Linked DNA regions of Anolis sagrei. The protein of the gene in region 3 purifies or fractionates together with the protein of the main gene of each other region. This does not show direct contact. Links are inferred from orthologs where the notes say so. Each region holds a gene or a part of one and is shown on either strand. Other genes may lie near its edges. The genes, in order: CALR, OS9 and HSP90B1.

What was found.
Region 1: the proteins of HSP90B1 (region 3) and CALR fractionate together in Homo sapiens (co-fractionation; 4 studies listed by BioGRID, with this or other methods). This does not show direct contact. The link is inferred for Anolis sagrei from reciprocal best matches to the Homo sapiens genes HSP90B1 and CALR.
Region 2: the proteins of HSP90B1 (region 3) and OS9 purify together in Homo sapiens (affinity purification with mass spectrometry; 6 studies listed by BioGRID and IntAct, with this or other methods). This does not show direct contact. The link is inferred for Anolis sagrei from reciprocal best matches to the Homo sapiens genes HSP90B1 and OS9.

What each region holds. Positions count from the first base shown.
Region 1 is NC_090022.1:162,446,483-162,457,670, reverse strand, and holds the start of CALR (calreticulin), read right to left. Parts: upstream 4,234-11,188; 5' UTR 4,150-4,233; coding exon 4,062-4,149; intron 1-4,061. UniProt on the Homo sapiens protein: Calcium-binding chaperone that promotes folding, oligomeric assembly and quality control in the endoplasmic reticulum (ER) via the calreticulin/calnexin cycle.
Region 2 is NC_090022.1:186,667,077-186,677,544, reverse strand, and holds the start of OS9 (protein OS-9), read right to left. Parts: upstream 4,517-10,468; 5' UTR 4,465-4,516; coding exon 4,300-4,464; intron 1-4,299. UniProt on the Homo sapiens protein: Lectin component of the HRD1 complex, which functions in endoplasmic reticulum (ER) quality control and ER-associated degradation (ERAD).
Region 3 is NC_090025.1:170,806,816-170,817,531, forward strand, and holds the start of HSP90B1 (endoplasmin), read right to left. Parts: upstream 4,982-10,716; 5' UTR 4,830-4,981; coding exon 4,781-4,829; intron 1,777-4,780; coding exon 1,677-1,776; intron 452-1,676; coding exon 310-451; intron 231-309; coding exon 114-230; intron 1-113.

The DNA.
Region 1 (11,188 bases), on a different chromosome or scaffold from region 3:
GAAATAAAAACAACATCTCTGTTGACCCACTATGTATTTTTGCCTATCATTTGGCTTTAAACATTGCACAGAAATCTACTTCATAAAAAGATAGTAAGTGAAATACATTTGTCCTGAAAGCAACATGTGATGAGCTATTTTTATCCTTTTTGGTTACAACCTAGTTTTGCAACAAGATTCCAATTTTTAAAAACACTGTATCTTTACGGTTATTTTGTGTTTTCTGGGAAAGCTATGTAGCCACTTTGTTGCAATTAAATCTTCTGATTATTCATGGTTTCCACTCCTGTTCTAGCAAGCTAGATTAAAGCATGACTTAGTACAAAACAGAAGGCTGTTGGAGTGTTGATGTGGTGGATAGTTCTGGATTACCAAACTATCCCAATTCTTGCTTAACCATAACATTTAGATGGCAATGCCACCTGGGTACAATGCATGGCTTGAACGCTGTTTACAAGTAGTGCCTCCCCTCAAATGCTATTTACAATGACTTGGAGCAGTTTCCACTGTATAAATAAAAAAAAGTTCTTTCAACGATCTTTAAAAAATGAATACCATAGTTTTCAATAATATGATTGATGTCAGAGGCATATTTTCCCCATGGTTCACTTGTTACAGTATGGGAGCTTAATACTAAACGATTTCCCAATTCTGTGGCTCTTCCTCCACACCATACAGCATAGGGCTGCTGAAAATTAAAAGGAACTACCATGCCCAATGGCCAAACCTTATTAAGAGAACTCAAGTAAAAGTAGTAAGCACATTTTTGTGAACAATAGGAATTTTGGGCATTATCTAAAATTTATATGATCTTCCCTTACTTCATAAGGTCAAAAAAGTCTTCAAATCAAAATACATAAACAAAAACATAATTAAAAAACTGGCACAACCATATCACAGAAAAACCAACGACAGGACCACACTATCTACTATTTTATATTATTTTATATTACACTGTAACTAGCATTTCTTGCTCTCCCAAAAGAACATCAGCCAAACTTACCCTTTAACTTCCTCCTAGCAGCACAGAACAGGAAAGAATAAAGCTGCCAACCTCAGACAGAGAATTGGAGCTTATACCTAGCTAATGTATGCAATGAAAATATTCTGATGCATAAGGGGCCTAACAGCACAATCCTAAACATACGTTTATACAATCTGCTCAATGGTATTCATTTCTATGCAAATGCACAGAACATTCAAGACAAACTAGAAGACAATCCTTTATTTTTTAATTTTCTACTCCATCGTGGAATAAAATTGGACACAGGATTCTTTAGAAAATAAGCATCTCTAGGTCGCACTGGGCTTACCTAAATATCACCAATTCAGCCAAATCTACCTGGGAGACCCACATCTTATTATACAAACGCTACACTATCATCAGAACGGTCTTAATAACCTATACACCAAATTGCTGTTGCATGTAAGGGCCCTTCCACCCTGCCCCTATATCCCAGGATCTGATCCCAGATCAGTAGACCCTCATATATCCCAATTTAAAGTAAATAATCTGGGATCAGCTCCTGAAATAAAGAGCAGTGTGGAAGGGCCCTAAGTTTATTTCACACTGCAAACCACATTCTATGCTTTGACTGCACATACACTCACACACATATAGACCAGAGAAATAACTGCAATGAAATAAGCACAATAGTTCTCTTATTTCCACACTGCTGAATAAAATCCCACTTTTTCTGCTTTGAACTGGGATATATGACAGTGTGGATTCAGATAAGTCAAAAGTAGATATTGTGGGATTTTCTGACTTGATATTCTGGGATATATGGCTGTGTGGAAGGGCCCTCAGTGTAGTCCCAGACTGAGGAAGCATACACCTGTCACTCTTGATCCTCTGCCAACAGGCGGTACGTGTGTGTCGGGAGAGACATCCCAGAGTGAACTATTTAGTCCACATTCACAATCCCTGTGGCCCTCATTGATTACAGTGTAATTATCAACTCCCCAGTGCGTTTAAACTAGACACAACAGTCTTTTTCCTGTCACACATACTGCCAAGTTCTCAATTTCCTCTTCCAAATGGATCATAAGCACACACAATTCATGAGTGGGTTGTTGTACGTTTTTCCCGGGCTTTATGGCCATGTTCTAGAGGCATTCTATCCTGATGTTTTGCCTGCATCTATGGTAAGCATCCTCAGAGATAGTGTGGATTCAGATAAGTCAAAAGTAGATATTGTGGGATTTTCTGACTCGATATTCTGGGATATATGGCTCTAGAACATGGCCATATAGCCCAAAAAGCCCTATAACAACTCAGTGATTCAGGACATGAAAGCCTTCGACAATACTTTTCCTTTTTGATGCAAAGTTTAACAAATAATTCCTCCTTAGATGTTTTGGGCTAAATGCCTTATAGAGCAGATCTTTGAGTCAATTAACGAATTAAGATAAATCAACTCTGTGTATATTTAGTTGAATCAAATAATGTTTTGGTATATACTAACCATTCATTTTAAGGTTGTGATTCTTGTGGCTGAAAGGAACAGATGCCCAAGAGAGACAAATACTTGAGTGTGTGATCCAATCACATCCAGAGAGGTGACCTCACTACCTCTGAGGATGCTTGCCATAGATGCAGGTGAAATGTCAGGAGAGAATGCCTGTAGAACATGGCCATATAACAAAAAACAAAACAAAACAAAAAAAAAACAAAAACCTACAACAACCCAGTGATTCCAGCCATGAATGCCTTCGACAATAAATTCATGAGTGGCCACTTAAAAATAGGGTGGACATGAGCAGAGCTCTTCCTTTTCCTCCCTTGAGAAAAAGCCCACCCCCTCCCAATTAAGCAGCAAGTTGCCTCCCTCATATATATTCCTATTTGTATTTATTCTTGGATCCTAAGAACCCACAATTCAAACAAGATATTTCACAGGGTTGTTGTAGGTTTTCCGGGCTATATGGCTATGAATTGGATTTTATGAGTCTACACTGCCATATAATCCAGGTCAAAGCAGATAATCTGGATTTTAAATGGCAATGTAGAAAGGGCCAGTGACTGTAGATTCAACATATCTGGAATCCTTCCTCCTGTCATCAATATTTTTTGCATTTCCTGGTACACTTATACTCTGGGGTAGGCATGCGAATGCAAAAGCAAGCAAACCTAAAAGCTGCAGACCCTTTCTGATCTTGGTAGTTAAGCTGGGACATTTCTGGTTACTCCTTGAATGGGAGACCACTAATGAATCCTAGTTACTATAGCTTGTATTTCTGAGGAAAGAACTGGGAAAATCATCTCTGAATTCTTTACCTACAGACTTATCACAGGGCAAAAAAGGATCCTAGGAGAATGTACTGTCGAAGGCTTTCATGGCTGGAATCACTAGGTTGTTGTAGCTTTCAGGCTATATGACCATGGTCTAGAGGCATTTTCTCCTGACGTTTCGCCTGCATCTCTGGCAAGCATCCTCAGAGGTATTTCACACATCATGAGTGGCTTGGAAAGCAAAACAGGATGGATATGAACAGAGCTCTCCCATTTTCCTCCCTTGAAAGCCCTCCAGTAAATGCCCTACCCCATCCCCAAATTAAGCAGTCAGTTGCCTCCTTCATAATATATATCCATTCCCATTCGTTTTTACATTCTTGGCCAGGCATCCAGGTTTCTCAGCCACTCTTTACTTGGAGCAGAACCTGAACCATCATGGCACAATTCTCTCTAAGGGGAACTCTGTGCCAGCCTAGAGGGGATTGATCCCCTCCCCTCCCAAAAGCCTCCATCTCTACTATGGGGTTGTCTATGGGGAAACTGCAATGTCACCCCCAGCCTTCCTCGAGCCCTAGATGGCCACAATCCAAGATGGCGGGGGGATGAAGACAAGAGAAAGACCAACCCAGGCTCAGCCCTGCTTCTCTCCATCCCCCTCCCCTTTTGTTGCACTCCTCTTAGAGGCCTACTGTTGTGATTTTACCCTCCTAACGACCCCTGGATAGAAGGGCTCCAGAAATATCCCTCACCCACCCATCCTCTCTCCCTCCCTGAGATGGGCCCATCCCTGCTGGAGGCCCCCATTCATTTCCTCGCCGCTCACCTCCATCCCCAAACTCCTCCCGGAAGTACTGCGCAGGCCCAGCCGACACCAGGGCCAGCATGGAGCAGAAGGCCAAGAAGAGAGCCATGTCTTTTCCCCGCGCGCAAGGTTCTCCTCCTCGAGCCTGACAAGGGCAACCGACTGCGGCCAGCGAAGTGCTTTCGCTGCCCTTTTATACCGGGCTGGATCGAACGCCCGCCTCCGCCGTGTCCCGATTGCTCGCGCCGGGCCGGATGGACACTGCCATTGGTCGGTCGGAAAGACGGCGGGTTGGGCAGCGCCCCCGAACGTTGGCGTCCCAGATGGCCGCTTCTGATTGGATACTACCTCTGGCCAATGGGGCACGACCACGCGTTCGGGGGGAGCCGCCCCCTCCCTATCGCCTTGTGTGCGTCACTCTTCCTTTTTCTTTTTTTTTTTGCACAAGCCCCACGTGACCCCGGCGGGATTTAAAGGGCCAGCTCAAGGCCGCTTTCCTCGCTTCTTACACCCATTCATTGCAAGGCTCTGAAAGGAGGGTGAAAGCACATTGGAGAGTGGGAATCATAGAATCATAGAGTTAGACCAGTGGCCAGGACATCAAAGGACATTTAACCAACTACCAAACTCACAAGTTTTGTATTTGTCTGTTTGCTTGCTTGTAATATAATGGACTGGTTGCTCTGACAGGACAAATAAATAGAGTTAGACGAGACCTCATGGGACATCTAGTCCAACCCCCTGCCAAGAAGCAGGAATATTGCATTCAAAGCACCCCCATCCAGCCTCTGTTTAAAAGCCTCCAAAGAAGGAGCCTCCACCAGACTCCGGGGCAGAGAGTTCCACTGCTGAACAGCTCTCAAAGTCAGAACGTATCTCTCCTTACAAACCCTTTAGGAATTTAAGATCTTCTAGGGAGGCCCTGCTCTCGGCCCTGCCATCTTCACAGGCTCGATTAGCGGGGATGAGGGATAGGGCCTTCTCAGCGGTGGCCCCTCGGTTGTGGAATGCCCTCCCCAGGGACAATAGATCAGCCCCCACCCTCTTAACATTTCGCAAAAAAGTTAAAAACTGGCTATATGAGCAGGCCTTCCCAAAGGCAGTGTAGCTTTGAAACTCTGATCTCGGAACGGTTGGACAATGTGACTGGACAATGACTGATTAATGAAATGTGGAGGACTTATGGTTTTTTATTATGTTTATTGATGTTAATTGTAATGATTTTTTAAATCTGTGTTAAATGTTTTTAATGTTTAAACTATTTTTGTACTGTTGTGGGCATCGAATTGTGCCGTTTTGTAAACCGCCATGAGTCGCCCTCGGGCTGAGAATGGTGGCATAGAAGTGTAGTAAATAAATAAATAAATAATGTTCTGCTGGAATCTCCTTTCCATCTGAAAGGAGCATAATGGGGGTTCCAGGTTGCGTCTGCCCATGAGAAAGATTGGTTCCAGCTCTCCAAGCACTTGTGCTTTACTTATGATATATTGTATATACATCTAATATTTATAATATTAAAATGTAATACAATATAATACTACTACTAATACAATATTATAATTATGTATTCCATATTACATGTAATATCACTAATAATATTACAATATAATGGCATAGTACTGATATTGTACTATGCTAATAATTACTTACTTACTTAGGCGATCCCTCGTTGTCCAAGCAGGATAGTCTTCCAGGATTAATGTACTGGTGGTTGGTCCATAAGTGTCTGTGGAGCCCTATTCTTGATCTGCATCTTCTCCCGCAGTGAGGGCATTGGTTTCCAGGTGGAATGTGGTCTCAGTCGGGGTTGTCTTAGCGTGCCTTCCTCTTGGCACATTTCTCTCTTTCACCCTCTATTCGTGCCTCTTCAAATTCTGCAGCACTGCTGGTCACAGCTGACCTCCAGCTGGAGCACTCAAGGGCCAGGGCTTCCCAGTTCTCAGTGTCTATGCCAGAGATTTTAAGTTAGGCTTTGAGCCCATCTTTAAATCTCTTTTCCTGTCCACCAACATTCTGTTTTCCATTCTTAAGTTCAGAGTAGAGCAACTGCTTTGGGAGATGGTGGTCAGGCATCTGGACAACGTGGCCGGTCCAGCAGAGTTGATGGCAGAGGACCATCGCTTCAATGCTGGTGGTCTTTGCTTCTTCCAGCACGCTGACATTTGTCCGCCTATCTTCCCAAGAGATTTGCAGGATTTTCTGGAGGTAGCGCTGATGGAATCGTATCAGGAGTTGCATGTGACCTCTGTAGACTGTCCACGTCTCACAGGCATATAGCAGGGTTGGGAGGACAATAGCTTTATAAACAAGCACCTTGGTATCCCTATGGATGTCCTGGTCCTCAAACACTCTCTGCTTCATTTGGAAAAATGCTGTGCTCACAGAGCTCAGGCGGTGTTGCATTTCGGTGTCGATGTTGACTTTGGTAGAGAGGTGGCTGCCAAGGTAGCGGAAATGGTCAACGTTTTCTAATGTTATACCATTAAGCTGTATTTCTGGCACTGGAGGGGGGTTGGCTGGTGACTGTTGGAAGAGCACTTTGGTTTTCCCGATGTTCAATGACAGGCCGAGCTTCTCGTATGCTTCTGCGAAAGTGTTTAGAGTGGCTTGTAGATCTTCTTCTGAATGCGCAGAGACGACATTGTCATCAGCGTACTGGAGTTCTGTAACAGATGTTGTTGTAACCTTGGTTTTGGCTTTCAGTCTGCTGAGGTTAAACAGCTTGCCATCTGTCCGATAGATGATTTCCACTCCGCTGGGAAGCTTCCCATCAACAAGATGAAGTATCATAGCGATGAAGATGGAGAATAAAGTTGGGGCAATAACACATCCCTGTTTGACACCTGATATTGTACTATGCTAATAACAAATTGACCATACATATAGCAATAACCTATAAAACCAACTTTACAATAAAGCATAAATAAACATTTTAAAATTATTTAACAGATATAAATACAATTGTTGTGGGAACTCCTCAATACAGATGATAAACTTTACTCAACTCACTGAAAGATATAGCCTTCCTGTCATTCCAAATTAAATATCTTCATTAAAAGCTTGCTTGAACAGGAAGGTCTGAAGATTATTATTTAAATAATAAACATTTTATTTAAATAATAACCATTGACAAATTCCTGACCATAAAATGCCTGGCTTCGATTAAAAGCTGCTTCAAAAAGGAAGATCTGCACAGCTTTCCTGAATGACATCAGTGTGGAAGCTGATCAAACTTCCTCCAGCAGCTTTGGAGCCACTCTCGAGAATGTGCTTTCTCTGGTGGCTTTTAAATGCATGATGGCCCTGGACTGTGTGGAGAACAGAGTCTCCTTACTAGACCTTAAAGGTCTGCCATTTATTAGAGGACCATTGTGGCTTAGTGGTTTGAGCATTAGGTTATGGCTCTGTAGGCCATGGTCTGAATCCCAGCTCGGCCATGGAAGCCACTGGGTGACTCACTCAATAGTTTGATATTCTGCATTAATATTGTGTTTTCTCACTTCTCCCACCCTTTGCTCTTTTCTGGTTTGTTTTGTGTTACTGGCATCATCATTGAAACCACTTGTGTCAAACTCAAGGCCCTTCATATCATTTAATGTTGTCCTGCAGATGCCTGACTACAGCTCCTATATTTTTTGTTATTAGAGCTGATGAGAGTTGTGATATAGTAACACCTGGAAGGCTGCAGTTTGTTTTGTTTAGTCACGAGAGTCAGGGTTGGATTTAGGTACAAGACTTGTGGATATGATGTCTGACTTTAACATGTCCGCTAACATTTCCCCAATCTTAGACCCTCAAGGGTTGTTGGATTGCCAGACCCATTATCCTCAGTCTGCATGGCATATAATCAAAAGTGTTGGGAATTGTCATTCCCTAACATCCAGGGGCCCAAAATGGGTAAAAACTAAAGAGACCCAACCACTATGTAAATATCTCTATATAAATAAAAATGTAATGTTCGTTCGTGGGATTAATATAACTCAAAAACCACTGGACGAATTGACACCAAATTTGGACAGTGTACACCTAACAACCCAATGTATGTCTTTCACTAAAAAAAATGATTTTGTTATTTGGGAGTTGTAGTTGCTGGGATTTGTAGTTCACCTACAATCAAAGAGCATTCTGAACTCCACCAATGATGGAATTGAATCAAACATGGCATACAGGACTCCCATGATCAACAGAAAACACTCAAAGGGTTTGGTGGGCATTGACCTTGAGTTTGGGAGTTGTAGTTCACCTACATCAGAGAGCACTGTGGACTCAAACAATGATGGATCTGGATCAAACTTGGCACAAATATTCCATATGCCCAAATATGAACATGGAGTTTGGGGAAAATAGGCATTGACATTTGGGAGTTGTAGTTACTGGGATTTATAGTTCACCTACAAACACAAAGCATTCTGAACTCTACGAATGACAGAATTGGGGCAAACTTACCACATAGAACCCCCATGACCAACAGAAAATACTTCAGGCCACCCAGTCCAACTCCCTTCACCAGGGCAAGAGAATGTAATCAAAGCCCTCCTGAACAAGAGCCATCCAGCCATAGATATAGATAGATATATATGATTCACAGAGAGAGAGATATAGTATCATAGATTTGAAAGGGACCCCTAAAGAAGGACAATTATATGTTGCATGTTCCAGAGTAGGCAAACCAGACAATCTCCATATCAACACTGACAAAGAAACAACAAGAAATACTGTTTACCCACAAGCATAAAGGCATTACATATATTAGAAATCAACATTTGCTCATTATTTTATTTTCCAGATCACCAGACTGAGCCAAAACAATGTGTGGCAAGGGATGGCTAGTATATATATATAGTTGGTCCTCTGTATTCATGGAGTCAATGGTCCTTTGAAGGCAACCATCAGGCTGAAACCCTCAATGAAAATAGGCTTGACAGCCCAAGGCAGAAAATGTGTAGCTCTCTGCAAGTTGCTGGATTGTAGTGTTCATCAATCTCTGACACAGACTATGCTAGCTAAAGCTGATGGAAATTGCAATCCAGTAGCGAGTGGATAGCTACATATTCCTTACCCCTGACCTAAACAGTAATAATGAATGCAATAACAGCAGTAATGTTAAGGAATTATTGGCTGGATTTTATTGAGCACAGCATATATCTTTCTTTTTGATTTCTTCCCATTTTAGGCTGTCTGTTGTTCATTCGTTCAGTCGCTTCCAACTCCCTGTGACCTCATGGACCATCCCACGCCAGAGCCCCCTGTCAGCCGTCACCACCCCCAGCTCCTTTAAGGTCAAGCCAGTCACTTCAAGGATCCCATCCATCCATCTTGCCATTGGTTGACCCCTCTTCCTTTTTCCTTACATTTTCCCCAGCATAATTATCTTCTCTAAGCTTTCCTTTCTTCTCATGATGTGGCCAAAGTACCTCATCTTTGCCTCTACTATCCTTCCCTCCAATGTCTAGGCTGTCTAGTCATTGGGTTTTTCCAGGTGGTATACAGTTCTACTAAAAACATAAGATACAAAATAAGAAACAATAGTAAATAGTAAGAATAAAATTAGTAAATAGTAAGAATAAAATCAGCAACACAAGGTAAAACCCATAAAGAGAACAGAAACAAGGAGTGTAAGGATCTAAAACAGGGCTGGGCAACTTGCAATCCTCCAGATGTTGGTTGAATGGAGTTCCTATAATTTCTTGATCATTGGCCATGCTGTTACATAGGAAAATATTAACAATGCTGAACAGAGCTGATAGGAATGGCAGTCTATTTAGAAGGCTATGCACAGATGATCTAAAAGTACAAATAGTTCTTAACAGACCTAGACAAATAAAGTGACTCCCCCCTGCAACTGGTCATAAAAAGTGCACCCAGAGGAGGACTTTAGACAATGGTTATGAGACCCAAGAAGGTAAATACTTTTAGCAACATGCTGGCAAGCCAGTTGGGATTTTCAGCTTCATATCTAGGTAACTGTGACAGAAATTTAATAAGCAATGTTTCCACATCCATGCATCATTAACCGAAAGTCAGTCTATCTGTGCAAAACACAGGAGCCTTGGGAAACGAGAATAAGCAGAAATGATGACAGCCCTACTAGAACCTTTACACATTATTAACTGAAAACCTTGCAGAACTCATGAGTCAGAGACAAAATAATTAAACTTTTATAAAGCCATCTTACGTATTGTGTCACTGAAAACAAACTGTTAAGTATTCTCAGTCAAGGCAAGATTCAACATTTCATTTGACAATAGGAATGACAGCATCCCAACTGTGCTGTGATGGAAATGAGGAAGACCAATCTGACATTTGCATTTCTCTCAGACCAAAAATACATGGCCATTATGTCGTAAGAATGCTGCTATATCCAACATGTGATCAACCAAGAAGGGAAATACATACAAAACTAGAAAATATTTTTTATTATTGAATGAATTAGCAGCCCACCTGCAACCTCAGTGTTTCTGAAAGCCCAGCCAAATAACCAGCGATATGCCAGGAATACCATACACAAGCAGAGGCTGACAGCTTTCCTCACACCAAGCTTTCCTCAGAATGACATATCTTCATCACAAGTACGTCTGGCAGGGATGAGAGACAGAGCCTTCTCAGTGGTGGCCCCTCGGCTATGGAACACTCTTCCTAGGGATATTAGATCGGCCCCTTCTCTTTTAATATTCCGAAAAAAAGTCAAGATTTGGCTTTTTGAGCAAGCATTTGCAGATACAATATAACAGACATAGAGAAAAAAACAGAACAACTGGATGACACTACTGGATAATGCTTTTAACTAGGAGACTCAAAATGATACATGTTTTTATTGACATTGATTGTTTTATTTGGTTTTATATTTAAATTAACTGTTTTAATTGTATTTTATGTCTTTGATGCTGACTGTGAACCGCCCTGAGTCGCCTGCGGGCTGAGAGGGGCAGTATATAAATATAGTAAATAAATAAATACCTAGAGCATATACATTGTACGTCCTCATGCACAGCAGCACCACGTATTCTCTCCTCCAGCAATTCCCTCAGTCTCTGTGATTCACCTAGTAATGGCAGCACTATCAGCAGTCTTGGCATGTGGGTTCAAGTCTTTTGATGCTCCTCAATCAACATAACTACTGTTTATATCCAAAGCAAAGAAGAAAGCAC
Region 2 (10,468 bases), on a different chromosome or scaffold from region 3:
TGCCCCTCAGGAAACATCATTATGCAATATGCATCATTAAATAAATAATAAATGGATGTTTATGAGTAACTAATGTAGGGGGTTTTTTTTTGTCATGTCAGGAGCGACTTGAGAAACTAGAAATTCACCAAGCCCCCCTTTTGAAAGTGTGGAACACTGTCCCTTTAAAAATAGGAAGAAACCGGAATTCCAAGCTTGTTAAATTGACCCAGTTACCATACATCTTCATTCACACACTGCAGCCTCTGGTGCCTAGAAAGCACACAACTAAAAGCATTTTACCATAATACACTTATTATTATTATTATTATTATTATTATTATTATTATTATTTCTGGTATTTCTACTCCATCGCTTCTCTACCCCCGAAGGGGGACTCAGGATGGCTTACCAGGGGTATCGATACGATGCCACTACATAACAATTACAATAATAAAACCACAATTAACATAAATCATAATTAAAACAATAGACCAGCAATCAATAAAACAGTCTCATCAGCCGTATTGCCATTCCAGTCAATGTCCCTCTAAAGTGCTACATACATCTACTGTCTGAAAGCCTGGTCCCAAAATCATGATTTTAATTTCTTTCTAAAAGCCAGGAGGGAGGGAGCAGATCTTACCTTGTTTGGGAGTGTGTTCCATAGGCGGGGGGCCACAGCCGAGAAGGTCCTGTCTCTCGTCCCTGCCAGATGCATTTGTGCTGTTGACGGGTGCGAAAACAGGGCCTCCCCAGATGATCTTAGATTATGAGGTGGAATGTAGGGGTGGGTGTGTTTGGACAAGTAAGCTGGGCCAGAACTGTATAGAGCTTTATAGGTCAAAACCAGCACTTTGAATTGGGCTCGGAGATGGACCAGCAGCCAGTGGAGCTGGCATAGCAGAGGGGTGGTAGTAGACACTTAAGACATTTTGACACCGTTATTATACATCATGAGTGCAAATGTTCCACTTTGATCCATCATGGAAGTAAGCTTGGTCCTGCAACTGTGTGTACAATACTATACATCTAGAATGGAAGTGCATATTAAAGAGAAAAGGAAACAAAACTTTTCATGCTATAATACAACTATATTGATTTGGCATAAACATATCTATTCCAACTCTCCTGTAAAGGAAGTCAATTATATTCTCAATTCCACCTCCAGTGATCTAGGTCTTATAATTTCTGGGACGTGTTAAGGGATAGCCACATGATCAGTTTTATTTTATGAATGCTGACCATTTACCAAATTAGTTCAGAATCACTCTCACAAATTCCAATACAGCTTTTCTCCTCCCCCTTCCATAAAGCTTCATGAATTTTCAAAATCTCTTCCCATAGTTGTGTTTGCCCTAGATCTGTTCTAAAATATATCTGTCAATACAACATTGCTTCTGCTGGAAGCTGACTGATCTATATATAAAGGATAATGAAGAAAAGCGTCATGTTGCCAGGTAATGCAGACAACAGCAGCCTGCTGTGACTACACCAGCTTATCATGCTTCTGATAGCTCTATCAGTGTGCACTGCCTCTCAATGAATGAATATCATAAACAAAAAATAAGCAAGTTCTGCACTTGGAATGCTTACCAACAAAAACAGAAACCAAGGACCAACTAAACCTGGCAGAAAGTCTCACTAGCCTAGCATACATTATACCAGCAGCATTTCATGTTTGCAAGTGACAAATGTAACCCAAAGCAGTTTGTTCTTATGATCCAGAGAAGAGGGGAAACTGAATACTGTTTACTCAAGACTATAGATCTGAAAAATGATTCCCAGACACCAGATCTGGATTTCAAACATTTTACAAGTAACTTTCATCGCTCCATTTTCACTATACAATTCTTGATGTCAGGTTTTCATTCACTCATACAATCATTCTTCATACAACAAAAAGGTCCGCATGCCAAGTTGATCAGTTCTCATCACTGGTTGAGAACTGATCACTGCTATTCTTGCACATTTTCTCTGGAGAGTCTTTTTATAGACCTTCTAACTTCTGTTATCTGCATGCATGTGTTGTTTTTACAAACAACTGTAATAATGAACAATGTTTTCTTGTTATCTCTTGTTAAAGTTCCTATATTGACTAGTCCTGTGGCTTTACTTGATTTTTTTTTTTAAAAAGTCAGGAGCGACTTGAGAAACTGCAAGTCGCTTCTGGTATGAGAGAATTGGCCATCTGCAAGGACGTTGCCCAGGGGACGCCTGGATGATTTGATGTTTTTATCATCCTTGTGGGAGGCTTCTCTCATGTCCCTGCATGAGGAGCTGGAGCTGATAGAGGGAGCTCATCCGCCTCTCCCCGGATTCGAACCTGCGACCTGTCGGTCTTCAGTCCTGCTGGGACAGGGGTTTAACCCACTGCGCCACTGGGGGCTCCGCTTTACTTGATAACATGCAGCCATTCTGAAGGTCATACTTCCTCTCTCAGAGAATCCTCACTTTAGTTGTCAATTCACCATATCATCATGCATTGTGCTTCTCAATTTCTTCACAGATACTTTTGTTTCTTCAGCACAAGGGCTCAAGCACACAGGTTGGTCACAAACACTTCCAGCTTGAGATCAAAATACATTCTATTTTGAAATCACAAATGCTGTTGGAACACATGCATTTCCATTTTTATCTTTTTGAATTAAGTCTGATTGTTTTTCTTTACACTAAATATAACAATTATCTCATAATCAACAACAGTACGCTGCAAATCCACACAATGGAGTGTAATAAAACATGCAAGAAAGCTGTAGCTCTTGGCGAGCATTCCTTTAAAATATCATACCAGTGATACGCAGTTAGTACACTCTCCTGGCAGCTATACGCTGTGTTTCTCCATGTTGGAATTGAATTTTAACAAAATCCTTTTTAGTATTCCAAGTATGCGGTTCTAAATGTTTCTTCATTTGTTCATTTTGTAAAAGCAATGTCTTAAATTTTACATTTGTTGTTCATTCGTTCAGTCGTTTCTGACTCTTTGTGACCTCATGGACCAGCCCACGCCAGAGCTCCCTGTCGGCCGTCACCCCCCCCCCCCCCAGCTCCTTCAAGGTCAATCCAGTCACTTCAAGGATCCCAACCATCCATCTTGCCCTTAGTTGGCCCCTTTTCCTTTTTGCTTCCATTTTCCCCAACAACATTGTCTTCTCTAAGCTTTCATTTCTTCTCATGATGTGGCCAAAGTACTTCATCTTTGCCTCTACTATCCTTCCCTCCAATGAGCAGTCGGGCTTTATTTCCTGAAGTATGGACTGGTTGGATCTTCTGGCGGTCCAAGGCACTCTCAGAACTTTCCTCCAACACCACAGTTCAAAAGCATCTATCTTCCTTTGCTCAGTCTTCCCTATGGTCCAGCTCTCGCATCCATAGGTTACTATGGGGAATACCATTGCTTTAACTGTGCGGATCTTTGTTGCCAGTGTGATGTCTCTACTCTTCACTATTTTATCAAGATTGGACATTGCTCTCCTCCCAAGAAGTAAGCGTTTCCTTTATATAATTAGGTCCTACTACTATATTTAAATCTGACATTAATAATTCTAAAATTTTTTTTCTCTTAATCATTTCTGTAGCAGAAATTATATTGTCGAAGGCTTTCATGGCCGGAATCACTGGGTTATTGTATGTTTTTTTCGAGCTATATGGCCATGGTCTAGAGGCATTCTCTCCTGACGTTTTGCCTGCATCTAATCACCTCTCAACAAAAGTTTGCTCCAGGCTCTGTCAGGCCATTATATGCTAATCAAGGTGGACAGTTGAAACGTTCACACCTAGCTCCAGCAGACAAGAGTCCTTTGTCCCACCCTGGTCATTCCACAGATATATAAACCCCTTTTTCCTAGTTCCAACAGACCTCACAACCTTTGAAGATGCTTGCCATAGATGCAGGTGAAACGTCAGGAGTGAATGCCTCTAGACCGTGGCCATATAGCCCGAAAAAACATACAACAACCCAAAAATTATATTTCCTGTCACTAAGTTTTTAATATACGGTAAGTAACATTACAATTACACTCTTGATTTTGTTTATCAAGTTCAATTACAGTTGCATCAGATCTGGGGGCGCATCTGCACTGTAGAATTAACGCAGTTTGAGCCCACATTGAACTGCCCCAGATTAGTGCTATGGAATTATGGGAGTCAGGGGTTTGGGGAGGCAACAGCCCTCTTCAGCAGAGTTAACGACCTTGTGAAACTACAACTCCCAGGATTCCTCAGCATTGAGCCATGGCAGTTCAAGTGATACCAAACTGCGTTAATGCTCCAGTATGGATGACACTTCCCTTCCTCTCTTCCCCATCCAGGTGGGCCTACCTGCCCGGCCATCACTGGCTCGGCCCCGATCTCGATCCCGTACTTCAGCTCGCTGAGCTCCAGCAGGTTCAAGGAACCCAGCGCCTCTCCGCCTCCCAGCGCCGCTGCCCAGAGCAGCAGCAGGAGCGGGCCGCAAAACCTCGAAAGCAGGAACCTGGCCGCCATCTTCCCCGCACGGCCGCCCCCTCCGCCTGTTTCTGCCCTTCCTAGGCAACGGCCACTTCCGCCCTGCCTTCGCGTTCTGACCCAGGGAAGAGAATGGTCCCGGTGAGGTGTCAATTATCGCAGAGGGCGCTTACCATTGGCTGATTCCAAGGGGCGGGGAGAGTGAGGCTTTTCGGTGGGGAAAAAAAACCTGGTAAAACGCCATTGGTTCACTCCTTGGGCCAATCAGGGGAGCGAGCGCTTGCACAAGCCGCGGCTAAAAAAACCTGGTGGAAACCGATTGGCTGAAGTTCAGGCAATCCAAGCAGCCAATCAGAATGGCAAGCGGCTGCCCTACTGGAAAGCTGGCAGAAGGCGAGTGCGCCTACAACACAGAATTAATACAGGGCCCTTCCACACAGCCAAATAACCCAGAATATCAAGGCAGAAAATCCCAAAATATCTGCTTTGAACTGGATTATCTGAGTCCACACTGCCATATATTCCAGTTCGAAGAAGATAGTGTGGGATTTTAGTCAATTGTGTGGAAGGGGCTATAGTTTGATGCTGTTTGACCTTCCCTGGCCGACTTCTGTGACATGGGAGTTGTAGTTTGATGAGACACCAGCGCTCTTTTGGCCAAAAAGGTGTCCTTGGCAAAACTATAAGTTCCCTTATTATAAATTAGATTTGTAATAAGAGGGGGTCATGCTTGGTAACAGGTACTACATTATTTTCTTTTCTCTATATTGACACTTCCATCAACAAGGATCCCCAGTCATTCAAAGATGTCACCACTGACTTTTCTAAGATCTACAGAGACACTCCCTGGAACACCTCAGCAAGCGAGAGTCCAAAAGTGGCAGGCTCAAACCCAGAACCTCAACCAATGGCTGATACCAAATGAGAGACTCCCCCCTGGGCACACAGAGGACTGGGCGACTTGGAAGGCACTGAACAGACAGCGCTCTGGCACCACGAGATGCAGAGCCAACCTTAAGAAATGGGGATACAAAGTGGAATCCATGACATGCGAGTGCGGAGAGGAGCAAACCACAGACCACCTGCTGCAATGCAACCTGAGCCCAGCCGCATGCACCATGGAGGACCTTCTTGCGGCAACACCAGAGGCACTCCAAGTGGCCAGATACTGATCAAAGGACATTTAATCAACTACCAAACTCACACATTTTGTATTTTCTCTGTTTGTTTGCTTTGTTCTGTTAGAAATGTAATATAATTGACTGGCTGCCCTGACATGAGAAATAAATAAATAAAATACCACTGACTTTTTCATCCTTTTGATTACTGCTTTCATGAGATCATATCCAACTGAATTTCTGCATTAACAGTTGTTCGTGCTGAATGAACTACATGCCTGGCTGAATAACAAGTCCATGTGAAAAAGATCTTGGAGTCTTTGTGAACAAAAAGTTGAACATGAGCCAACAATGTGATCATAGAATCATAGAATCAAAGAGTTGGAAGAGACCTCATGGGCCATCCAGTCCAACCCCCTGCCAAGAAGCAGGAATATTACATTCAAATCACCCCTAACAGATGGCCATCCAGCCTCTGTATAAAAGCTTCCAAAGAAAGAGCCTCCACCACACTCCAGGGCAGAGAGTTCCACTGCTGAGCGGCTGTCACAGGAAGTTCTTCCTCATGTATTGTCGAAGGCTTTCATGGCTAGAATCACTAAGTTCTTGTGGTTTTTTGGGGCTATATGGCCATGTTCTAGAGGCATTCCATGTTCTAATGCCTCTAGAACATGGCCATATAGCCCCAAAAAACCCACAAGAACCTAGTTCTTCCTCGTGTTCAGATGGAATCTCCTTTCTTGTAGTTTAAAGCCATTGTTTCACGTCCTAGTCTCCAGGGAAGCAGAAAACAAGCTTGCTCCCTCCTCCCTGTGGCTTCCTCTCACATATTTATATTTGGCTATCATATCTCGTCTCAGCAGGCATGTAGCCGGGGGGGGGGGGGGCTTCAGCCCCTCCCCTCCCCAAAATTCTCATGGTGGTTTGAGAGAAGGCCTTACTGGTACATTATTTAAACTGTTATGTTTATTCATATCATGATCTGATCACCATGCTCAATATATTCCATATGCATGGGGGTATTGGGGTAACGATACAAAAGGTTTGCTAGTTTAGACCCTCTTTCACTTAGACTCAGCCCCCCCCCCCAAACTAAACTCAGCCCCCCCCCCCCCAAACAAAATTCTGGCTACAGGCCTGCTTCTCAGCCTTCTCTTCTTCAGGCTAAACATGCCCAGCTCCTTAAGCCGCTCCTCATAGGGATTGTTCTCCAGACCCTTGACCCTTGATCTCCAGACCCTTGATGCAGCAACTAAAAAGCCAATGGGATTTTGGACTGCATCAAAAGCAGTATAGCATGTAGATCGAGGGAAGTCCTGGTGCCTTTGTATTCTGCTTTGGTTAGACCTCACCTAGAATATTTATTTATTTACTTACTTACTGTATTTGTATACCGCCCCTCGCAGCCTTCCGGTGACTCGAGGTGGTTTACAAGGCAAAATTCAATGCCACCAAAAACACAATTACAAGATAAAAACATTAACATCAATAAAATCATAACAACTCTAATAAAACATAATTCAATAAATACACATTAGAACAATGTCCAGTCCCATCATGTAGTTGTTCCGTTCTTATGTCCGTTACTCAGTATTCGCAAATGCCTGCTCAAATAGCCATGTCTTGAGTTTTTTCTGAAATGCTAGAAGAGAAGAAGCCGATCTGATCTCCCTAGGAAGGGCATTCCATAGCCAAGGGGCCACCACTGAGAAGACCCTGTCTCTCGTCCCCACCAGCCATGCTTGTGATGATGGCGGGACCGAGAGCAGGGCCTCTCCAGACAATCTTAAAGTCCTCGAAGGTTCATAAGGGGAGATGCATTTGGACAGGTAAGATGGGCCAGAACCGTTTAGGGCTTTAAAGGCCAAAGCCAGCACTTTGACTTGCGACTGGTAGCAGACTGGCAGCCAGTGGAGCTGGCGCAACAAGGGGGTTGTATGCTCCCTGAGAGCCGCTCCAGTTAGGAACCTGGCTGCCGTCCATTGGACCAGTTGAAGCTTCCAGACAGTCTTCAAAGGCAACCTCACATAGAGAGCATTGCAGTAGTCTATACAGGATGTAACAAGAGCGTGGACTACGGTGGCCAAGTCAGACTTCCCAAGGTATGGGTGCAGCTGGTGCACAAACATTCAATAGAGATATTGACAAACTGGAACTTGTTCAAATGATCAAAGGTCTGGAGAATATGTCCTATGAGGAGCAGCTTAAAAAGATGGGGATGTTTAACCTGCAGAAGAGAAGACCATGTTTAAATATGTGAAAGGATGTCAGAAGGAAGAGGGAGTAGGCTTGTTTTCTGCTACCCTGAAGACTAGGACTAGGAGCAATGGGTTCAAATGCCAGGAAAGGAGATTCCACCTGAACATTAGGAAGAACTTCCTATCTGTAAGAGCTGTTCAGCAGTGGAACTCTCTGCTTCCAAGTATGGTGAAAGCTCTTTCCTTGGAGGCTTTTAAGCAGAGGCTGGTTGGCCATTTGTCAGGGGTGCTTTGATTGTGCTTTTCCTGCATGGTAGGAGATTGGATTAGCTTCCAACTCTATTATTCTATGACTATGGGGAACACTCTGAATAAAAGATCTTCAAGAAACTCATAGAACATAAACAGTTTGCTATGGATAGTTTATCTGGCATTTGGCAAATGAAATTGCTTATATCCCCTCTGACTTTGACACTAGAATTGGTACAGATGCAGTGAATGTAACTTTGACTCTAACTTGTTGATGATTGCTTTTTAATTTGAGCCACCCAAGAATGTAGACAGATTTCTTTGAGAGATACGAACTGCCATATGTGCGTTAGAGACTTGGCCTTCTTGAGTTATTAAAAAAAGGCTATTCATTTACTAAATAGACGGAGTGGTCAGTGTCATGCTAAAACATGACAGAATTCCAACTTGCCTGAAGAAGGCTGTTATAAGATAGTGGAGACATGGTGCTGGAGAACTCCAGGTCCCCTTGGCCATTGGCCTGTGGGATCATTCAGACTCACTTTGTCCTCCATGCTATTTAATAAATACACAAAACATGGGAAGTTGCCCAGAGCTTGGGGTTTGGTGTCAACAGTATGTGGATAGCACCCAACATCTACTACTCCTTTCTATCAAAATCCAAGGAAATTGTTTTTGTCCCAAATTTGTTCCTTTCACCTGTAATGCCCATAATGGATGTGAACAAATTGAAACTTAATCCAGCCAAGGTCTGTGACTTGGGTGTACTCTTGGCTTCAATCCTGAGCCTGGAAGCTCAGGTTTCAGTGCATTTGCACATTTAATGCTTGCTTGCCAGCTGGATCTGCTCCTTCAGATGCCACAGTGACACAGGATTTGCCTACATCACAGCTGGGTTATTGTGACACGCTCTACATGGGGCTGCCCTTGAAGAATGTTTGGAAACTTCAGCTGGTCCAAAAAGCTTCAGCCAGTTTGCTTGTTTGATACAGGGAAAACCCAACTCCACTGGCTGCTGGATGAAATTCAAAGACCTGGTTTGAAGCTATATGGGAAGGTTGAGTGAGAAAATGATGCCAGAAACATTAACAACCTTAGGTATGCAGATGATACCACTTTGATGGCTGAAAGTGAGGAGGAGCCGAGGAGCCTTATCACCAAGGTGAAAGAAGAAAGTGCAAAAGCTGGGTTGCAGTTTAACGGCAAGATTACGGCAACCAGACTGATTGATAACTGGCAAACAGAAGAAGAAAACGTGGAGGCAGTGACAGACTGTATTTCTAGTCGTGAAGGTTACTGTAGATGCATCCAGAAAATCAGAAGATGTTTACTTTTTGGGCAGAGAGCAATGACCAATCTCGATAAAATAGTGAAGAGTAGATACATCACACTGGCAATGAAGGTCTGCATAGTTAAAGCAATGGTATTCCCCATAGTAACCTATGGATGTGAGAACTGGACCATATGGAAGGCTGAGCGAAGGAAGATAGACACTTTTTGAACTGTGGTGTTAGAGGAAAATTCTGAGAGTGCTTTGAACTGTAAGACAATCAAACTAAGCAGTCCATACTCCAGGAAGTAAAGCCCGACTGCTTACTGGAGGAAAGGATATTAGAGGCAAAGATGAAATACTTTAGCCACATAATGAGAAGACACGAAAGCTTGGAAAAGATTTTTTTCCATGTGAGGAGTGACTTGAGAAACTGCAAGTCACTTTTGCTGTGAGAGAATTGGTCATCTACAAGGATGTTGCACAGGTGATGCCCGGATGTTTTACCATCCTTGTGGGAGGCTTCTCTCATGTCCCCACATGGAGAGCTGGAGCCTACAGAGTGAGCTCATCTGAACTGTCCCTGGATTTGAACCTCTGGCCTGTCTTTAGTCCTGCCGGCACAAGGGTTTAACCCATTGTGACACCGAGGGCTACAGATAAGATAATGATGCTGGGGGGAAAGGAAGGAAAAAGGAAGAGGGGCTGACCAAGAGCAAGATGGATGGATGTTATCCTTGAAATGACTGAGGGTGGCCAAGGCTGACAGAGAGCTCTGACGTATGCTGGTCCATGAGGTCAGAAGAGTCGGAAATGACTGAACGAATAAACAACAAACCAATCCTACTGTTATAGGGAAAGGAAGAGAGAGGGTTGCTGCCACCCACCACAAGGTGGCAGCTTTATATAAAGCTGGCTATTTCTTGACCGCCTAGCTCCAAGGCATTCTGGAAGAAGCGACAGGGGATTTTCCTGGCCATACTTCCCTTTGTCTCTTAAGCTTTGAACAATCCAGGGAACCAGACATCCAAGAAAAAGTCAGCTGCATGTTAAGCAGACTCCTAATGAGCAGGAGGCATTCCTCCTCCTCCTCCTCCTCCTCTACTACAGGGACTAGGTTGGGAGGAGCCACCTTCATTGCTGTTGCTTCCTATGTTGAGGGAATACCTTCCTTTCTGGTGCACATGGTGGAGCTGAGCAGCTGCCTG
Region 3 (10,716 bases):
GTATAATGGTATTTTGAGACATTATGAATTAATCAATTTAATATGGTATTTTGAGACATTATAAATGAATCCATCTAAAGATGGCACCAAAAGAAACGACAATAGCACCTTACCTTAATTTTTATTGTGAGCTCTTCATTACCAGAAAGAGCATTTTCATCAGTCAATGAGATCAGCCGTATTTTATCAAGAGCATCAGATGCATTTGAAATCAGTTCTCTCAAGAAGATCTGAAAAGATAAAGACAAATCAGCCACTTGTAAAGAGAAAGATTACCCAGGACTATCCTACAATTAATATATAGCTTACCTCTTTATTTTTGTAAAGTGAGTTGATGATAAGCTTCATCATTCGGTTCACTTCAGCCTGGAATGCAAACTTTTCTGACTTCTCTCTAATTTGTTTTATTTGGGATGCATTTAAGCCATCCAACTGAATAGACTCTTCTTCCCTGTAGATAATAAATATTAAGCAATTATGCTTGAATTAAGAAATATAGGTACTGCATAAAAAGATAAGTTTTTTTTGTTTCAAATGCAAATCAGACCTACTTGAAACTACATCCGGCACACAATTAAACAAGCAGAATCCAAATCTGTAAAACTGGGCATAAATCCAATAAATAATAATTTAAAAATCTGTCTCTAGTGGAGCATCCTTTGCCCATAATGAAATTCACTTTTCAGGCTCAAATGTTGTATGTGGGTGTATATTGGCCCATCCCAAATTGCTTTTTAATTTTTTTTAGTATTAAAATACAATGCAAAATAAACATGTCAGACTGGCTTTTTTAGGCTTCACCAAGGACTCACAATCACTCCAAGCTCCCTTGTTTAGAAATGGATATATATAGAGATTTTAAAGATTGTGTTTTAGCACTGATGTTGTCCAAGGTTCGTGTCTCTAGGTCTAATGACTATTCTAGCATATTCATTAATGCTCAGGTTCTTATCACATCACATTCTGTATATAATGCCTTTGATATTATGGCTCCTCCTCTTCACCACTTGCTGAAAAAAATGTTATTTCCTTCCTTATCAGTAGTGATGCTTTCAAGCATCAATGTGGTAATTCACCACCACCTAGCATCTTTCTGTTGGGTCAGGTTGAGATGAGAATTGATAAGCTGTAAGAAGATAAGACAGTATCCAACACTAATCATACCCAATTTCAAAAGGTTATTTTCTAGCCAGGATTCCTAGGAGGATTTATCACTGCAGCTAAATTATTTAGTACAAGTATCACTGCAGCTAAATTATTTAGTAAAACACTATGTATAAATCAACCCTATTTTGAAAAAAAATTACATGCTTAAAACTTCACTTTAACAATAGCACATCTAACAAAGTACCTATGTTCCCAATTAGATTATGACCTAAAACTCTTTGTATGGATCACTCTATTGTGTTTTTGATCAAAGCCAACTAATCGAGCCAGATTTTTCCAGTCCATATTGGAAAATGTTCTACTTGAAAGACTCCATCTTCTTCTTCATCATCATCATCATGATAGCTGATGAATTTAGCTATATGCCCACACGGGATCAGCAAGTTTGTGTTACAACAACAGAAGAAATGAGACTTGCATCTTAACTACCTTTCATTAACTCTATTTAGATAACATTTGTTCCAAGTGTGCATTTTACATCAACTGTATTGATATTTTAGAAAACAAACCTCTGAACAACTTCGTCATCTGTTCGAGATCCTTCCCTACTTTTACCCAGGTCATCTTCTACAGTGCCATCCACATCAATCTCATCAGCCTGGGCTGAGGCTGTAAAAAGAATTTGGCTAGTTTAGTCACTCAAAACACAGCTATGTATCTCTGCCTGCTTGGAACAGAGACAATAAGAATTATACTGGTATAGCCAAGAATGGAGGAACCAAGATGGAATGTGCAGGACCATCTAGGGTCCAATTAAGACATTAGAACAGCATGATGCACTGGGAAGCAGATGAGGCAACCTTCAAAACCATATCCCATTATAGTTGGGGACTGTCCAAAAAAGTCTACTAAACAGAAAAAAAATCTTTTGATTGGGTAGACATTTTCTTTCAGACTTCAAGCACATGGCAAAGAGAAGCTATTGGTCCAATTGTGCTCCTTAAGAGATGATGATGAAATTAAAAGTTTCCTAAGCATTTCTATCACAAGATAGATGGGACTATGACTAATATGGGCTGCACCTACATTGCAGAACTGATACTGTTTTGTCACCCCTTTAACGGCCATGGTCCAATGTTATGGAATTGTACTGTTGTAGTTGGGTGAGGTTCCAATATTTATTTATCTTGTACATTTGTATCCTGTCCTTCTCATCCCCGAGGGGGAAATCAAGGTAGCTTCACAACAGGCACTCTTTCAGTGACATCCACATTCATAAAAATACATTTAAAACAATTTATTAAAACATTACATTGATAAGGCATTTGTTTAAAATCACACAAGTTTAAAATCCAAGTCCGGGTCAGTCCATTGTCATTCATATCACCTGACTCTTATCCTTGATTCCTGCCTCTATCATTCAAAGACTTAGTCCCATAAGGTTTTGAGTTTCTTTCTAAAGGACAGGAAGGAGGCGGCCAATCCGATGTCACTGGAGAGAGAGTTCCACAGGTGAGGGACCACCACTGAGAAGGCCCTGTCTCTTGTTCCCACCAGTCACGTTTGTGATGGTGATGGGATCAAGTGTATGGCCTCTCTAGCTGATCTTAAACTTTGTGATGGTTCGTAACGAAAGAGAGGACAGGTAACCTGGGCAGGAACTGTTCAGGGTTTAAAGGTTAAGACCAGGGTTCCTTAAACTAAGGCCCGAGGGCTGGATATGGCCATCCAAAGTCATTTACCTGGCCCTTGCTCAGGATCAACCTAAGTCTGAAACAACTTGAAAGCACACAACAATCCTATCTCACCAGCCAAAAGCAGGTCCACACTTCCCATTGAAATACTAATAAGTTTATATTTGTTAAAATTGTCCATTTTAATTATCGCATTGTCCGTTTTTGCACAACAAATAAGATACGTGCAGTGTGCATAGGAATTGATTCATGCTTTTTTTCAAATTATCATCCGGCCCTCCAACAGTTTGAGGGACTGTGACCTGGCTCTCTGTTTAAAAAGTCTGAGAACCCCTGGCATAGTGTATGCATTTCACTTTGTATAAAATATTTAAATTGTATACTAATCAACCTCTAGAGCAAGGGTCTTCAAACTAAAGCCCAGGGGCCAGATGCAGCCCTCCAAGGTCATTTACCTGGCCCTCACTCAGGGTCAACCGAAATCTGAAATGACTTGAAAGCACACAGTAACAACAACAATCCTATCTCACACTTTCCATTGAAATACTAAGAAGTTTCTTTTTGTTTAAATTGTTCTTCATTTTAATTATTGTATTGTTTTAAAATGTTTTTTCCACTACAGATATATGCAGTGTGCATAGGAATTCATTCATGTTTTTTCAAATTATAATCTGGTCCTCCAACAGTTTGGGGAACTGTGACCTGGCCCTCTGTTTAAAAAGTTTGAGGACCCCTGGCATAGTGTATGCATTTCACTTTGTATAAAATATTTAAATTGTATATGAATCAACCTTTTCCCAGATCATGTAATTTTTACATGACGCAAGACATTTTAAAAAATGACTAGTTTAATGGGCTGTTTTATGTTCTAGAGGCATTCTCACCTGACATTTCGCCTGCATCTAAGGTAGACCTCACTACCTCTGAGGATGCTTGCCATAGATGCAGGCAAAACGTCAGGAGAGAATGCCTCTAGAACATGGCCATATAGCCCAAAAAACTTACAACAACCCATTAAACTAGTCTGGTGAGCAACCTGGCTGCTGACCACTAGACTAGTTGGAGCTTCCGGGCAGTCTTCAAAGGTGACCCCTTATAGACTGTGCTGCAGTAGTACATTTGGGGATGTAACAAGAGTGTGGACCACCGTGGTCAAGTCTGGCTATGTGTTTTTTTTTGTCGTGTCAGGAGTGACTCCTGGTGTGAGAGAATTGGCCGTCTGCAAGGATGTTGCCCAGGGGACGCCTGGATGATTTGATGTTTTTATCATCCTTGCGGGAGGCTTCTCTCATGTCCCCGCATGAGGAGCTGGAGCTGATAGAGGGAGCTCATCCGCCTCTCCCCGGATTCGAACCTGCGACCTGTCGGTCTTCGGTCCTGCCGGCACAGGGTATTAGCTATGGGTGCAACTGAGTTGTAGTTGTGCAAAAGCTCCCCTAACCACCATCGAGACCTGGAGTTCTTTGGTACCTTGCAAACCTGCAACTCCCAAAATCCTATATTATTGAGTCTTGGCAGTTTAAAGTGATGTCAAAGTGTATTCATTGTGCTGCCATGGTTGCAAATCCTGTATAGCAAGTTTGGGCCAACTTGGGCCCTCAGAGTGTTTTGGACTTCAACTCCCACAATCCCTAACAGCCTCAGGCCCCTTCCTTTCCCCCCTCAGCCGCTTATAAGCGGCTGAGGGGGGAAAGGAAAAGGCCTGAGGCTGTTAGGGATTGTGGGAGTTGAAGTCCAAAACACTCTGAGGGCCCAAGTTGGCCCATGCCTGAGGTACTCCATAACACTAGGCCGTGATAGTTAAAGTAGAACACAACGAAGAGCTTTAAATCGAGGAGGCCTCGGAGGCGCTGCTAGGCCTGGAGTTAGGAAAAGAAATAATGTGAGGCCTTCCCAAGAGTCCCCTTCCCCTCAAACAGGCTTCCCTCAGAATGTTCCAGAACCCCCTCCCCCTCTTCTTCCCCTCAACGGCGCCTCACCGGCCAAAAGCAGGACGAGTAGGAGGCCGAGTCCCCACAAAGGCTTCATGTCGTCGGTTCGAAGCGCACTCCGGACTGTCCCTGCCTCCCACGCGGCGCTGAAGTGTGAAGAAAGTGGGGGAACCTCCTCAGCGACACCTGAGGAGACGAAGCCACTAATCAAAGTCAACCCGCCCCCCCAATCCCGGCCGGCTTATCACTCGCGCACGCCGCGAGGCGGAGGCATCGCCACCAATCGCGGCTCACCACGCCAAACGCGGAGCCAATAGGAAGCCCGAAGGGGAGGGGCGGAGCTCTCTCTCCGCCAATCGGCGGTTTCCAGGTGAGGGAGTCCAGCGCCAGAGCGTGGCCGGGCCCGATTGGTTGTTACCAAGGGAAGCAACCAATCGGGAGCAAGGGCGGGAGTAATAGGCCTTGGTTTGGTTTCCTTTTCCCCTCCCCATTTAAAGAGGTTGAATCAAATTCTCCAGAATGTGTTCCAGGGAAGAGCTTCAGAACCAAATAGAATCATAGAATCACAGAGTTGGAAAAGACCTCATGGGCCATCCAGTCCAACCCCCTGCCAAGAAGCAGGAATATTGCATTCAAAGCAACCCTGGCAGATGGCCATCTAGCTTCTGTTTAAAAATAGAAGATTTTTTTAAAGGAAGGGGATTTAGGGGTGGGAGAAAGCTAGGAGTTATTTTATTGGTTGTATTTTAGTATTTAGTCATTTGATTTGAGATTGAGATTGAAGTTGTCTTTGTTTTTACAAAATAATTCAAAACCTGCAAGCAAAAAATACTATATAAAATATAGATGTGAATTCTGTTACATGTTTATGTTTGTAATATTTATGTGTTTATGTTTATAATATTAATAATGAAATATATATACTATAATTTAAAGTATGATATATATAATACTAATGGTATACTGCTAGTGTATATATACTGTGGCATAGTACAACATAAGGCATAATTATAGTATATGTGATATTACTAATAATATTGCAGTATAGTGATATAGTGCAATTTAGTACTAATATTGTGCTATGCTAGTAATACATCTATATAAATAAAAATGTAATGTCTTTGTTTTTACAAATTCAAAACCTGCAAGCAAAAAATACTATATAAAATATATATGTGATTTCTGTTACATGTTTATGTTTGTAATATTTATGTGTTTATGTTTATAATAATAATGTAATATATATACTACAACTTAAAGTATGATAAAATATATAATATTAATAGTATACTGCTAGTGTATATATACTGTGGCATAGTACAACATAATATATAATTATAGTATATGTGATATTACTAATAATATTACAGTATCATGGTATAGTGCAATTTAGTACTAATATTGTGTTATGCTAATAATACATCTATATAAATAAAAATGTAATGTTTGTTTGTTGGATTAACATAACTCAAAAACCACTGGACAAAATGACACCAAATTTGGACACAATACATATATCAGGCCAACGAGTGACTATCACTCATAAAAACACTGAAAAACACAGCAGGAGAGACTTAAAAAACCAAAACAAAAAAAAAACAACAAAAATACATTACAACGCATGCGCAAAACCACACATATATATGCAAACACACATATATACACACAAAACACATACACAGACTGGGCCACAGCAACGTGTCGCAGGGTACGGCTAGTATGTTATATAATACTTATAGTATAGTATAATATATACTACAACTTATAATACAATATATTATATAATACTAATAAAATACTATACTGGTAGTGTAGTATATATATTGTATATAATAAAACATAATAGTTATAATTTATATTACGTGTGATATTACTAATAATGCAGTATAGTTGTATAGTACAATATAGTACTAATATTGTGCTATGCTAATATATTGCATATACATATACTTTTATAATATACAATATACTACTAATAATAATACAATACTAATAATAATACAATGAGACCAGGCAAAGTTTTTAACAAGGTGACACTATGAATTTATATTTTATTGATATGTTTAATTTTTATTATATGTTATGTTTTTAATTGTATTTATGATATTGTAAGCATTGAATTTTGCCCTGTTAACTGCCTTGAGTCGCCTACGGGCTGACAACGGCTATATCTTTGTGTGATATGTGTTGTTATTTTATATGGTGTGTTTAGTAATGTTCAGTGTTTTACCAAGGGAGAGTCAGTTTTGATATTTTATGGTGTTACTTATCGATGGTATTGAATTGTTGCCAACACTGGGAACTGCCCTGAGTCCCCTTTGGGTTTGACAAGGGCAGTATACAATTACCACAAATCAATAAATAAATTATATAAAATGATATAATGTTTTATTATTGTATATTTATATATTTAAGTTATGTTTTTGATTGTGAGCTGCTTTGAGTCTCCGTATGAAGGAATAAAGTGGAATAGAAATAAATATATAAATAGATATGTGTATACTTTAGAATATATATATATATATATAGTGTGTGTATTTTATACGATTTATGTTTTTATACATTTTATATTTATATAATATATAATGTATGATTAATATATACTTTATATAATGTATGTTATGTATGTGCATGTGTGTTTTGTGATATGTGTTTGTGTATATGTATATATAGTATATCACATTCTTCAAATTTAATTTAATTTTACTTTTAACACCTGGCATCCCAAGTTGTGTGTGTGTGCCTTCTATAATGATAATTTATGTGATGTGTGTGTGTGTATGATAACTCACTCACATTTTTACTTTCATTTTAGCAACCTAACACATGCCAGATTATGTGTCTATTGAGAATAGACATGAAGTAAATCAGAGGAAAATCAGCAGGATGGCCTTTCAGTATAATTGCAACAGAAACATCTGCATGCTTTCACTTAAGAATTATTTTAAATACAGCTCCCTAACCTCAGACTTATGATTTAATTAAGATGTGGCGAAAAGAAAAAGGGGTCAGGCAGAGTGGCAGGGGACTAAATCCATTTAAGATTTATGTTAAAATACAGTGGGGAATAACAAAATTCCAGCATGTAAAACCCCATAGAATGGCTGCTTAGAGTCTGCACTACATGTGTTGGTGTTGCCACACATGATGTCAGTGTTGCTTTACATGCAAGCCGCCTTCTAATATTGCATGATGGGTACTGTAGTCTTTGGAAGGAAGAGGCATCAGTATTTCAGATGGTTTGGTAGACACCCAGATAGTAAACTAGCTGAATGAGAAACATACCTCCGAAGTCCCATTGAGCGCAAAGAGGTTTGTTTTGTTTTGTTTTTTGTTTTGGTGTCAGGAGCGAGTTGAGAAACTGCAAGTCGCTTCTGGTGTGAGAGAATTGGCCGTCTGCAAGGATGTTGCCCAGGGAACACCAAGATGTTTTACCATCCTGTGGGAGGCTTCTCTCATGTCTCATCCCACTCCCTGGATTTGAACTGCAGACCTTTTGGTCAGCAGTACTGCCAGTGTAAGGGTTTAACCCATTGCGCCTCCGGGGCTCCAACACAAAGAATAGGGATGTCATATTACCATATAATCCAGTTGAAACTGCATTCTATCGTAAGTGTAGACCCATATAACGCCATTCAATGCAGTTCAAACTGCACTATCTGGTCTATAGTACACCAATTATATAGTGAAGTCCACAGTGCATTATATGGCAGTATATATCTAGCCTACATTGCATAACTTTATAACACACAACAGTCTTAATTCCTGTGATATGCTGCCTTGTACTTCAGGCTGAATCCATTTAGGACTATATCGACTGCCTTAATTGGAAGCAGCTCATTATCTCAAGTCATTAGGTTTTGCAAGTCATTAATTTTGAACATTGCTACTAGTTACATCATATAGTTGCTGAAATCGTGGATGTGCCAAATTGAGGCTCTGCTATTAAGTGTATGATATTGTTTAAGAGACTGTTGTGCTCTTTTTAAATGAGTTATATTACACTATTAACACTTATCCATGGACTTATAACGGAATCCACTTGCTTTCAAACACAGGTGGTGAACCATAGTGTCAGCTGAATACCTAACAGACAGTGCACTGCCTGTCCTTTGAGATATAAAAGCAAGACTTTTGCATCAGCTGTTGCAACAGGACATAAAATGTCCATTCTGCAGATTATCATTTTAAAATAGCAACCAATTGCAGTGACCATTCTCACTAGCGTATGTATGAAATGAGATTTTAAGTGATGTCCAAATACAAGCCTTTCCCCCAAGATTTAACCTCTTTCAATGTCTTTATAAGGTAGGAAATGTTTCTCCTTTCATTCAAAGTTTTAGAGTGAGGAGATCTGATAAGGGAGTGAAGTGGAAAATATAAGTAACAATGCTGAACTGCAAAACATATGCACTAGTCCTTAGTTAACATTTGATATGCTGGCATACTGTTTAGTCAGTGCTATTTTAAGATGATTAGATTATTTCCTTTGATGTTCCATTTCAGCTTTGTTCAACCATGTGTACTAAGTACTGATGTGGCTACTAATTAGTATTTGATATCTTAAAAAAAAACTCAACAAAACTTGGAAATAGTTTTCTCTGTCATCCACCAAGCTGCAAATTTACAATTATACAATTATATATTTTTCGCAGGGTAAACAACACGCCTGATAAAAAGAGCATCAGTATTCTCTGGTATTTCAGTTTTCTCACTGTACTCTGCCAGTGAATTGGTTTGTAGCCTTGAATTGGATACAGAAAAGCGCAATCCTCATAAAGAGATACATTATGTTGTTCCCCATGAAGAGTTGAAATGCATTTTTCTGCCTTTGTTTCCTATCCTCTTGTAACCATGATGGGATATGACCTATATATGCTTTGATTCCCTCTCAAGAGTAAGCATCGTAAGCAAAATGCAGTCCTGTGACAGTATCATTGCTGCTTTTCTTCCCTCTGTGATTAAAAAACACACACATCATTTCCTGATTTAAAAGTGTTAGGGCTTTTAAAATTAGCACAGTGTATTCTGTGCCTGGAGCCCCCGGTGGCGCAGTGGTTTAAAGCACTGAGCTGCTGAGCTTGTTGATTGAAAGGTCGCAGGTTCGATTCCGGGGAGCGGCGTGAGCTTCCACTGTCAGCCCTAGCTTCTGCCAACCTAGCAGTTCGAGAACATGCAAATATGAGTAGATCAATAGGTACCGCTCCGGCGGGAAGGTAACTGCGCTCCATGCAGTCATGCCGGCCACATGACCTTGGAGGTGTCTACGGACAACGCTGGCTCTTCGGCTTAGAAATGGAGATGAGCACCACACCCCAGAGTCAGACATGACTGGACTTAATGTCAGGGGACTACCTTTACCTTTACCTATTCTGTGCCTTTTGAGCCACTTCATAATGGAAATATATATTTTGGTTTTTTTAAAATTGCATGCTCCATCTGACCATTCTTGCATTCATTTTGTAATTTCCTGAACATAGAATCATAGAGTTGGAAGAGACCTCATGGGCCATCCAGTCCAACCCCCTGCCAAGAAGCATGGAGAATTTGGTAAAATTCAGAGCGTTTAAGTATCTTTATATCTCATGAATGTGCATTGTTAACCTCTTATTTATATATAAAATGTGTATATCCTTTCTGATTATATTTCTACATTTCATCTTTGTACACTGAGAGTACACAGTCTACAGAATTCTTTTGGGGTGCGTCAACACCATAGAATTAATGGAGTTTGACGCCAGTCTAACTGCCATGGTTCAAAGCTATGCAATTGCGGGAACTGTCATTTACACTGTATAATTAATGTAGCTTGTTACCAGTTTAACTTCCATAGTTTATTGCTATGGAATCATGGGAATTCTAGTTTGGTGAGGCAGAGAAGACTAAAGATTTTTGAAAATTATAATTCCCATTATCAAATTGCTGCCTGGTTGTAAGCCGCCTTAAGTCACCTTCAGGTTCAAGAAAGGCAGGATAGAAATATA